2 linked regions of the Caenorhabditis elegans genome follow. The protein of the gene in region 1 interacts with the protein of each later gene in a pairwise test. Each region holds a gene or a part of one and is shown on either strand. Other genes may lie near its edges.

The links.
Region 2: the proteins of atz-1 (region 1) and F26H11.4 interact in a two-hybrid assay, tested with the Caenorhabditis elegans proteins (2 studies listed by BioGRID).

What each region holds. Positions count from the first base shown.
Region 1 is NC_003282.8:12,372,875-12,379,395, forward strand, and holds atz-1 (Protein atz-1), read right to left. Parts: upstream 3,248-6,521; 5' UTR 3,180-3,247; coding exon 2,884-3,179; intron 2,833-2,883; coding exon 2,755-2,832; intron 2,404-2,754; coding exon 1,971-2,403; 3' UTR 1,807-1,970; downstream 1-1,806. Other genes in the region: wdr-46 (WD repeat-containing protein 46), read left to right, coding at 1-74, 341-1,124, 1,494-1,805. UniProt on the Caenorhabditis elegans protein: Plays a role in meiosis, germline development and oocyte morphogenesis. May play a role in DNA replication.
Region 2 is NC_003280.10:14,407,071-14,412,711, forward strand, and holds F26H11.4 (ULP_PROTEASE domain-containing protein), read left to right. Parts: upstream 1-1,541; 5' UTR 1,542-1,680; coding exon 1,681-1,715; intron 1,716-1,761; coding exon 1,762-2,035; intron 2,036-2,187; coding exon 2,188-2,415; intron 2,416-2,434; exon of another isoform or gene 2,435-2,498; intron 2,499-2,642; coding exon 2,643-2,842; intron 2,843-2,889; coding exon 2,890-3,343; intron 3,344-3,395; coding exon 3,396-3,487; intron 3,488-3,528; coding exon 3,529-3,739; 3' UTR 3,740-3,772; downstream 3,773-5,641. Other genes in the region: nurf-1 (DDT domain-containing protein), read left to right, coding at 1-102, 151-281, 330-688; dsb-2 (Double-Strand Break factor), read left to right, coding at 4,032-4,094, 4,138-4,256, 4,311-4,692, 4,735-4,926, 4,975-5,061; Chloride intracellular channel exl-1, read right to left, coding at 5,170-5,514.

The DNA.
Region 1 (6,521 bases):
TTGGCAGCACTTGATTGGCAAACCAAGCATCTTCATTTTGAGCAAAGTGTGATGGAGAAGGTTTCCGATGTGAAGTAGGTTATGGCGTCCAAATTTCTAAAACTGTTTTACGCTGAGACCTCTTTTTTTCGCTGATTGAAGTGCTTTTTTGTGCCTATAAGTCACACAATACCACCGAATTTGGGCAAAATGCACCTCAATCAACTTAATAAAAGCGTATTTTGTTAAAAGGAAATTTTCAAGATGATTTTGTAAAAAATTCGGTAGCTTTAGAACATATGGATGCTAATTACACGTTTAATTACATTTGTTAAACATTAATAACAACGATTAATTTCAGATTTCTTCATACGGAAAACTTCATCGCAGTCGCCCAAAAAAACTATACTTATGTATACGACAACTTGGGTACAGAACTTCATTGCCTGAAAACCATGTACGACACAGCTCGCCTCGAATTTCTTCCCCATCATTTTCTGCTCGTCGGCTCTTCGCGAAATTCGTTCCTTAACTACGTGGATGTGTCTGTTGGAAAACAAGTTGCCTCGTTTGCAACGAAATCTGGAACTCTTGATGTGATGTGTCAGAATCCGGCAAATGCCATTATTCACACTGGACACACAAATGGAACCGTGTCCTTGTGGTCTCCCAACTCAAAAGAACCACTTGTCAAGATTTTGACTCATTTGAGCGCAGTCAAAGGAATTGCTGTTGATGATCAGGGAAATTATATGGCGACCACGGGTCTCGACAGGAAATGTCGTATTTGGGATGTTCGAATGTTCCGTCAACTTCATGCATATTCACTACCATTTGGAGTGTCGAACGTGGCAATTTCTCAAAAAATGAACGTTGCCTGTGCAGTTGGAAACCATGTACAAGTGTTCCGTGGAATGCATAATGGGACGTGTAAAGAGCCGTATTTGGTGCACAATTGTGGAGGTGTGGTCACTGATTTACGATTTGTTCCATGGGAAGATGTGCTCGGAATTGGACACGCAGGCGGATTCACGAGTATGTTGGTGCCAGGGGCAGGAGATCCGAACGTTGATACGCTCAGATCTAATCCGTACGAAACGAAATCACAGAGAAAGGAAAGAGAAATCAAACAATTGTTGGATAAGGTATGGAATTTATTTTATTCGATTTTGATATTTGAAGTCTGGATGTCAAAAACTCTATTTTTTATGATTTTATCATGAAAATCGAAAGCACCTCACCAATAAAAAAGAAACCTTTAAAAAATTTTCTCCAAAAAAATCTTGATTTCTCTATATTTCATGAAAACTTTAGTTACAAAATTATGTTCAATCTCGAAAAAAATGAGATTTTTTTTGAAAATTTATTTCAGACTACTTGGTTCTAAATTTCACAAAAGTTTTCCACGGAAAATTCGGAGTTTTCTTATACTACAGCAATTTAGAAGACCCTTCTTTGGCAAGCGAAAAAAATTTTTGCAAAAATTGTAATGCTAACTAAATTCTAATTTTCAGATTCAACCGGAGCTCATCAGTCTTAACCCAGACGACATTAACAAGGTCAATGAGGGACTTCTCGAGTTGGAAGAGGAAGAACGAAAGAAGATTCTCTACATTCGTCCGATGGCTGTTCAATATACGCCACGTCACAAGATGCGCAGCAAGAAGAGTGGTTGGAAGATGGAGGCTCGTAAGAATATTGTCAAGGATCAGATTCGAATGGAACGGAATATGGAGAAACATGCGGTGGAGAAGGAAGTTTTTGAAGCACCGGAAGTGGATGACGAGGCTCCGAAAAAGAAACACATTCTGGATCGTCTCAAATAGAAGGATAATCAATTTTATTTTTTGTTGTTGTTGATTTTGCGTTATTTTCGTTTTGTTTTTACTGAATTTTTGAAATTATTTCTTTAAAAGATTTGACATTTGGAAATTTATGAAACGAAGGAAAAAACAAACAGTAAAATAAAAAAGTAGAAACTAGTATGTATTTTATTCGTAATCTTCCTCTTCTCCCTCCTCATCATACTCTTCCTCATCCTCAAAGTCTTCTTCAACCTCGTAGTTCTCCTCCTCTTCATAATCTTCTTCCCCTTCCTCTTCTTTCATAAGATCGTCATTCTTCTTCTGAAGATCCGCAATGATCTTCTTCTGGGCTTCCAACTGCCCCGTCGTCTCGATCATCATCGCCTGGATCTTCAACGTGAGCGCCTCTTCGAATCGATGCTTGTCCTCCAGCTCTTCAAGCCGTTTCATATAGACTTCAGTGAGCTTGTTCGCATCGTCGACCTGTTTCGTGAGGCTCTCGATGGCCATCGTCTTTTTCTTGGATTCTCTAGCAGCACTGTCCAATGCATTAATCGTCAATCTCAAAACACCCTCTGGTGGAATACCAGTTTTCGCTGCTGGCATCAAATTTTTGATTCTGAAAAGTGTTACTTTTTGCATTTGTGCTTGTTATTATGGGGACGCAAAAAATGGTTTTTTGAAATCATCAAGGCACAAGCGCGCTCCAATGATGGGTCTCATTAGGTATTGGCAGGAAACTCGTAAATTCAAACGTTTTTGTTGTTATTATCGATTTTAATGTCGAAATGGTCTTTAAAGATGCATTTGAATAAGGGTTTCTCGTGTATTTTACATGATTTGTTTCGACATAGAAATAGTGGAAAAACTCTTGAAAAAATTTGAATTTCTGATTTTGCCTTCGCCAATACCTAACGAGACCCAACTTTAGAGGCGTTGCGTTTTAACTTGGGTAGGCTCCGAAACTCACCGTTTTTCATTCTCAGGATCTGTGCTCTCACCAAGGTTAGCCACAAGTAATTCGATTCTCAAGAATGTCTGATATGACCTGAAAAAATAATTCGATAAATTTTAGGAACTCAAATTCTTAAAAACTCACTCATCAATTTTCGCATCCCTTTTCTGCTGTGCTTCCCTCAAAAGTTTCTCCAATCGACCAATTTCCTCATTTGCTACTTGTTTTCCTTCTTTCGTCTCCTTTTCAAGATCCGAAATTCTTTCCGTGGCAACTCTCAATTTCTCACTCAAACATTCCACATATTCGACATTCGAATCAGTCTTCTTCGCATCGAAAAGCTCTTTTCGTTGCTCCAAAAACTTTTCAGTGAGCACTTTGAATTGCAAGTTCTTCGCGGCAAGCTCGGTTTGCACATTGCGGAGTTCGATCGAAGCCATTATTTGAATATTACAGACAGAAAAAGGGTGACAACCAGTCGATAGGGACCTGTGCGAGTGAAATGAGACAAGAAGAGGAGCACTGCTAATAGATGGTATCTACCGTAGCAGTTGACCTTTCCAAGAGGTAGACACGTCATCATTGTCTGACATACTATGTTTGCTCTCTCTCTCTCTCTCTATATGGTCTCGAAGGGAAGGAGATTAGGTCATAGGAGACGTTTATTGGAATGAAACACTTCATTAAAAAGGGTAATTAGTGAACTAGATGAGCTAAATGCATATTCAAATTTGTAAAAGGCCACCTAAAATGTTATGCATTGTCAAGAGAAATGGCAGTACTACCTAAACTGTGGCTGTGAAAATTATCTGGATTAATTTTTTGAAACCTAAAGAACGGTCATTGATAGTCAGAACTTTAGTTAATATATTTTTCTTGCATTTTTACATTTTTTGGGTAAAAAAAGGTGTCATGTTCAAAGTTTCCATTAGTTTTCAATATCTGAAGCTCTTTTTACCAAACGTTGAATCAAAAATAGGTGACAGACATTATTCCAATTTCAATTACCAACTTGTATTCTAGGCATTTTCTTTCTGCTACAAACTTTCTGCAACACTTTTTTTTGTGAATATTAACCAAAAAGTTGGCATGACAGACGCCGAATTAAATAGTTGATTGGTCAGATAACTGTATCTTTTTTCTCATGTTATCAGTGAAGCAAGAATCAAAAACTTTCAATAAACCGAAAATAGTTCATTCGAAAAAAAAATTATCTAGAAATTTCAGTTAAGTTTTTGGTAAAAAATTCAAAAATTCAACAAAATTGAACGGTATACGACGAAGGTTTCAAGCACACGAACATTGTTGAGTTGTCAAATGGATAAGTGTATGCACCTGGACATGCATTCTTGAACATCTTCGTTGTAGAGCTCATTGTGCATTTATCTGGAGAATCATACTCCCCACGGCAGCATTCCTTATCAGTTCCATATCCAAGACATCCAGATTTACACCCAACAGTGTAACCTGAACTACTCTTCACTGCAAGTTCTGTAGGGCATGCAGCATTTACATCAGAGATGCATCCACCGGCTCTTTGACATCCCAACCCATCAATTAACATTGGGAGATTGTAACCATCGATTAGATTAACTGCATAAAAGTCTCTTCCAGCCCAAGATTTCAAATTGAATTCTGCGACAGATGCGGGTGGAGTTCCTGTCCTTCCATTGCATTGTTCTGCGTTCTGGAAAAAGTGTAAAACTCTCAAACCTTTTTCATTTTTTTTCAAGACTTCGGGTATTCCCAATTTCGGATGTTTTGAAACTTATTCAGTATATGCGTGTGAATTCTGCGAAACGTTTGAAACTTCCTGTCAACATTTACTGTTGAGAAGCTTGCCCAAAGTTTGGCAGAAAGTAGCAAAAATTTGGCAAAAAGATTATATAGTTTCGACGACCGTAAAACGTGCCCAGAGTTTGACAGAAAAAAGACCAAAAATTTGCCCGAAAATGAAAATGTATTTTGGTAATAGATTTTGGAATATTCATCAAAAAAAAAATGATGTACGTCCTTGACAATTCACGACTTTCAGATATTCTAGAACATCTAAAGTACTTTTTCGTATTTCCCTTTTACACAATTTTTTGGCTGAACTTAAAAAATTGTTCAAAATGTTTTGATCAAATATCCCCAAGTGTTTATTTGTTTCAAAACTTCCATAGAAACTTATACTTTCAAAATGATACACTGTTAAAGTATAGATCTATAGACTTCAAAAAAGTTACATTCAAACTACGGAAAACTCACCAAACAAGTTCCAGTCTCACAATTGAAATCTCCATCACATCCAGTCCGTGCCCAAATCTTTCCATTTCTCCAATCATCATCCACATTTAAATACTTTGCCGCCCACGCATCTATTATTATAGACTACGATTGTCCGGCTGTTCACAGTGAGGAGCAGAGATATAAGTAGAATCCAGATGGAAATCATCTGAAATTTTAAATAATTGCTGATCGATTATGTTTATAAAAATTGTTTGCAAAAATATTCGTAAAAGACTACTGTAGTCAACTTCCCGTAATGTAAAGTGTCTTCCTTACATACTTTCCTTTCCGATAACAAAAGTTTGTCCAATTTTGAACCAACTGTAGCATTGTTCCTTAAATACTCCTCTAGCTGATCTAAAGACCAATCGAGTTCGCACCGCCCGTTTATTTTCAATTGAACATTTCCTGCAGAAACTCCACTGCTTTCTGTACCCATCGCATTTTTCTCAATTCATGGAGTTGATTCCATTTCTGATTACCTTCTGATTGGGACAAATTCGTTATCAGTGAACAGTTCAAAATGAAAGTAAATACGAAATGAGAAGATTATAAAGATTTTTAAAAAGAATTCACCGGAAATGGGCAGAAGAAAACCACGTGGATCGATCAAACGGAAGGTTTCCAACAACTGTTTGTTGGAACATTTTGGATCTAGAGGTCAGATACACTACTGCTACCGCAAAACTCTAATTTGATGACCCAATCTTAGGCGTTTCCTATTTTTAGGTTAACCAATGATTTATGTTTGCAAATAATTTTCCTAACAAATTTTTTTCGGTGCCATGAAATTTCCGTTTAAAAAATTTTATGGATTCCTTTACTCATTTAAACTTCCATACATGTGTAAAAAATTAAAAATATATTATGCAATCGTTTGAAATAGGAAACGGTCAGATTTTGACTTTTGTATGGCAGGTATTCTCCAGAAATTACATTTGCAGTCAATTGATACCGCTCTTCCACATGTTGAATGAAATATGTGATTCCATCTTTGTTCGGAGTTTGTGTTCATTCAGAGATCGCTTTTCCTCGCTTTCGATATGTATGTAGATGTGACTAAAAAAACTTAAATTCAGAATTTCAGAAGTATTCGCTCCCGGAATTCAAACTTTAACATAAATTGAACTCAAACTTGCTCTCTCAAAACATAAAACATTTTTGGTATCAAATTGTGGCTCTAGAACTTTTTAACACTTCTTTCCAGGCGCTTGTTATCTATCACGAGAAGCAATACTGAAACCACAAATCAATTTTATTGATAACAAAACGAGAGTCGTCCAATTTTTGTATGTTCTAGGAAAAGTGCATCTGAAAATAATAGTCTATGGAATTGTAATTTGCTAAGATTAGAACAGCACTCGAATCTGACCCTGGCTAAACCTAAAGTATTAAATACAAAATGTTCATATGGAAATATTGAATCAGAGTTCAAAATTGGATTGTTATTAGAGCTGTGTGGGTTTGTTTACAGTCCTTCAAAAGTTCACATGTCGACATAAATGTCAAAT
Region 2 (5,641 bases), on another chromosome or scaffold:
GGCCGCCGATTACAACTGCCCGGCATGCACTCGAGAGGCTGAAGGCTACGAGTCGGAAGCGTCAGATGTGTCGGGTTCGAGTCGTGTTAGTGTGCAATTAACGTGAGTTCACACATTGTTAGAATTTTCAGTTTTTCGGAAAAATTTCAGACGCGCCGACTATACTCATGTCTTTGAGCTCCTCGAGCTTCTCCTCGAACACCGTATGAGCACACCATTCAGGAACCCAGTAGATTTGAATGAGTTCCCAGATTATGAGAAATTCATCAAGAAGCCTATGGGTTAGTATTTCCGAAACGTCGTCAAACTTTGCATTTGAAATTTTTCAGATCTCTCAACAATAACAAAAAAGGTTGAGCGCACCGAATACCTGTATCTATCGCAATTTGTGAACGACGTGAATCAAATGTTCGAAAATGCAAAAACCTACAATCCCAAGGGCAATGCTGTATTCAAGTGCGCCGAAACGATGCAGGAAGTGTTCGACAAAAAGTTGATAGACGTTCGCGAGCAAATGACCGCCCGTCAACAGATGCTTCTTCTAGCTACTGCTCAACAACAGGACCCGATGAGTTCTATCAGAAAGCGTGTCCAGTCGGAAAGCCAGCGAACTGTCGACTCGTTGGATATCGATTCGGATCAGCTGTTGCCACTGGATGCGAATCTTATGAGACTTTATGATTTTTGAGATTTTTCCTCTTGTTTTTTTATGTTTTTCGTAGTCACACAGTGACTTTTCACTTGTTACGTTGACAATGTTTTGTAAGAATAAAATTTCTTTTCGATTTTCAATGAAAAATGTTTAAAGCACAGGTTCACGGCTAAATAAAAACGTTCCGCTTTATGTGAAAATTCATGACAAATAATCGAATGGAGCAATTTTTGACTCAAACTATAATTTTTAATTACAACACTCTTTAAAGGCGCACACCCGTTTATTTAACAAAAAAAAAATTGTGTCGAGACCGGGTGCCGTATTTTTGGTGCAAAAATCGCATAATTTTGCATAATTTTTTATAATTTTTAGGAAAGAACAAAAAGCGGCAAAATCGACGAAAAATGTATTGAAAGCGTTTGAATTTGCAGTTTTGCCGCCTTGGTTTCCGTTGGAATTGGAGCGCGATTGCACTTTGGTTTCAAAAATTGGTCACGAAACTACATTTTTTAATGCGATAAGGTGCACACCTTTAAAGAGTACTGTACTCTGAAACATTAATTGCTGCTAAATTTCCCCGATTTTAGCTTAGTTTTTCAATAAAAACTCAAATCTAACAATAAAATGCATAATTTTTACCAAATCGTGAGAAAAACTATAGAAAATCGATTAAGTTTATCAGAAAACTAAATGTTTTAACTACAGTACTCTCTCAAGGCGCACACCCGTTCGTACTTAACAAAAGTAATTCGTGTCGAGACCGGGTACTGTATGTTTGGTGGAAAAATCGGATAATTTTGTGTCTTAAAATTATATTAAAACAAAAAAAATTAATAAAAAAGTTTGAACTTAAATTTTTTATTCCCTGTCCTCCCCCCCCCCCCCCCCCGCCTATCAATCTGACGTGTGATCTTGTTCAAAAGTTTATTTATATATATTTTCGGACCATTCGTATAAAGTTGGATGAAATCTTTTGAAGATTGAAACTTCTGGTCATTTCAATTTTTATATCACTTCGTTACAAAATGGATTCCGATCTGAAAAAAGTTCAAAAGAATAGGTAAGCCGGAGCGGTCTTGGAACGAAGAAACAACTTCTATTTTCAGTGATCAGAAACAAGTTTCAAAAAGCAAAACAGCAACTGCGCCAACTGAGCCGTTTAACAGTAAGGCTACTGAGTTGCCGTCAATTCTCAAGCCGAAGTTCCCGTCGGACAAGGTCCTGAAGAAGAAAAAATCCGGTGACATGTTTGATCTTGTAGGACAGATCGTCATCGATATCGTTGATGATAATCCTGACGATGATGACCGACAGGATGAGGCTACAACGGTGGATACTGTACAAGAAGGAATCGGAGCAACGGTCGATGTAACTCTTGTCGTGAGTTTTTGAGGAGCAGAGAGACATTGTTTTAAATGAAAAACAGTGAGCGCTTTTAAGGAGCACAAGAGTCTTTATTGCATTCAAGTTTTTTTTTAGTAATTGGAGAACATGAATCGAATATGAAATAACCGGGTAAACTAAAATTTCAGGAAGACGTCGCTGAAAAAGCACATGAGCCAGCTTCAACTCCAAATGTTGCTGACCGATTGCAAAAACCAGTTGCAAAAGATGATAATAGCGCTCCGGTAGAAGAAGCAAATAGGAAGAAGAAAGAAGGCAAAGACCCCAAGAATTCAGAAGAAGCAAAGAAGAACAGTAAGAAGGGGAAAAACGGCACAGCAAGACGATCCGCGCTGAAAGGAGTCACTATTCCACCGGTGAGCTATCTAGAAAAGGCCAAAAATTTCTGCACGAAGTGGGATTCGAACCCACGCACCCATACGAGTACCAGAAGACCCAGTAAACCATCCGTGCGGTGAGTAACGTGCAGCGAGCGAGAGTATATGAAAAGAATGACAGAGAGTGAGAGAGCTTGCGTATTCAAGAGGCTCCATAGAAAATTGACGAAAAAACACTGGGCTTTTATAAAAATTTAAATTTCCAGGTAGCAGCTTCTTTACCTTGTCCTCCACCCCCACCTCCTTTGAGTGAGCGGAAGAAGAATGTAGGCCCAAAGCCATGCGTTGGTCCAGCACAGAAAAATTTGTCGAGCCAACGGAAGCATAGCTCAAAACGAAACCGAAAAGGGCTCTTGAGAAATGTGGCTAAACTATGGGGCCGAAAGTCGGATGGCATCGCCAATCCGTGAGTTATTCAAACCAGACTGCATCCCTACCGTGAAACATTTTCAGAACTAAAGCAATGCTGTCGAAAAAGTACGTGCCACCGGATTATGGAGTGAACCCTGTCGATTTCATGCCGGACCTTGAATGTTATTTTAGCAAAAACGACATTACTGTTCGTGATAAAAACAAGTGTAGCAAAGGAGAGGTTTTTGTTGAAAAGCTCCCATTTTGGTTGGCACGACTGCCGAGTGACGATGACATTCCGAAGGCTCAAATTCAGGCTCATCGGCCGCTGAAGCAAGCATTTGAAGGAAATCCGTCATTGCTCCTTCCGAAATGCCCAAGAACACTGCCGTTTTGTGAACCGGACTCTGACACACTGGAAAAGTTTAAGCAAGTTGATAAACAGATGGGAACCGATGTACCTGAACAGGCATCGAAAAGATTGTGTACAAACACTTTTTATGGAACCCTAATGTTTGAAAAAGACAAGAGTGCGTCTGAAGAGGTGAAAAAGAAGGTAGACTTTATTGACTAGCAATATATTTTTTGCGAATTTTAAAAGTTTTCAGAAAGAGGAACCAAAGTTGAAGTCTCTCGGAGAAGAGAGTGTGAAAGTGAACTTTAGTTTCCCTCCGAAACCAATCTTGTTTATTTACTCCAGGTAAGCTTGAGACTAAGCCGAAGCCTTATGATTTTTTGCAGAAAAAATCGACCAAGACCACCGGTGAGAGAGGACGACAAAAGCCACAGCTGCAAAAAGTGCCACCCCAAAAACTTGAAACCGGAGCGAACGTTCAAAAAGTGTGAATGGGTGAAAATGAAGAAGGGCGACGAGAAAAAGACTGTGACCAACTCGGCCAACTCGAAATCTGACACGAAATCGGCTTCTTTTTCAGCAGAAGGACGGAAATAGTACTTGTAGCTTAAAATGAATTATTGAAATTGAGGGGAAACAATTTTTCGGAGAAAAACAGGAACTATTATTTAAATTAAAATATTTTCGAGAAACACAGAAACATTTTGTGTAGTACAGTAGTTAATTGAAGGGACCTGCGCGATGTTTTATGCTGGGTCTCGCAACGCGCACACATATAAAATGGCTGTTACCGTAGTTGTTTAAATTTATTTGCTCCGGAATTCGTTTAAAAAAAATTCATTTTTGATCAGTTTATTTCAATAAATATCTCAATTTTTACAGAAAAAAAATGAGTGCACGTGGCCTGAAAGTTGAGATGTACTACAAATTAGCGGAAAAAAATGAAGCAGAGGTAATTTTCGCGTAAATATGTTTTTTTTATTTGAGTTTTTCAGACTAGCGATGTCTCTATACTTATCGACGGACATAAAAGAAAGTTCGCAGTCATCTGCAATGGAATCGGAAGAGAGATGGTGGATTTACACTATGATTCCAAGAAGTTTCCGAGAATTTTGTAAGCCGAACAATTATTTTGTGTTAAATAAATTTTAAAAAAATCAATTTTCAGTTCCCGAGAACGGCATCTCTACGTGATGTTCAGTGAAAGTACCAGCGATGGATTTCGATTGACATTCGGCGCAACAGAACGCGAACAATTTCTGAGAATCATGCATTCATTGGGATGCCTGCTGGACACCGCAATCGTGAAATTCTCCCAACAATCGAGTTCATCCCAACCTCCACCAATGCGTCGAGATTCTACAGCAGTGTTCAACAACAGCTACAATCAATATACTTCATTTCAACAAGCCTCTCAGCCGAGAGTTTTTTCAACCATTAAATTGGAACTTTCTGGAGATTCGTGCAATTCGGCGTTCCAGCCGTCCCAGCCGACTGGATTTCCAGACAACCAATTATTGACGATTAAAAAGTCCTCGTCGAACCAAATAGTAGGAAAGTACCATACTGTTTTCTGTAAAACTATTTTTCAGTCTCTAAGCGTTGAAGTAGCCGACAAATGCATTCAAACTGAGGATTTGGTCGATTTGCTGGCTGACGATGAGTATTGCATGCGAAAAGCACTGAGGAAAATGATCGAAAACCCAAGTTTTATCAAAGCCGTCGCTGCTGCAGAAAATACACTGCAGTATATTCCACAAGCGGAACAAGAGGGATTGGAAGATGTGAGAATATATTTGTCTAAAAACAATGGAAAGAATGTAATTTTCCAGGTCACCGAACCACCAATAAACGATATATTCTTTGATCGTTTTCATCAACCACAGCTTGAGCAACACGATTCTGTTCCAGAAGATTGATTATTTGGAAAAATTCTAAAAATTTAAACTTGTATCATTTGAATCTGTAAATTTTTTTTCAAGTATATTTAAGAAGCATTTTATTAGAGCCTTCGATTATTAGGAAAATCAGACGGAAAATGAAAATACCGGCTCTTCGCGGACCAGTTTAGCTCGGTCTTTAGCCGACAAGCGGGGCGTATCCTTGAGCTCTGTCCAGTGAAGAACAATTTCCTGATCGGATGGACACGAAACTCGAAACATTTCAGTCGCGTAACCGGCTTTCAGATAGTCGAGTACATGCGATAAATCGGCTGGAATTTCATAGTTTTTCAGCATTTTTGCGGCAACACGGATCGAGTGCAATCTCGTCAGGACCAGGCAATCAATATGCGTGACGTCATCGGAGATCAGAAATTTGGTTTCTTGTTCGGAGAGATACTTGTCGAGACGAAGGAGTTCCGTGTTGAAAGCCTGAAAAAATTTTCTAATTTTTCTTCTTTTCCTCAAACTGATTTTGTATTTCAGATTGAATAAAGAGATAAGCATTCAAGACTATTTCGAGAACGAGCGCCAGAGACATTGGAGCGCGCCGTGTCAT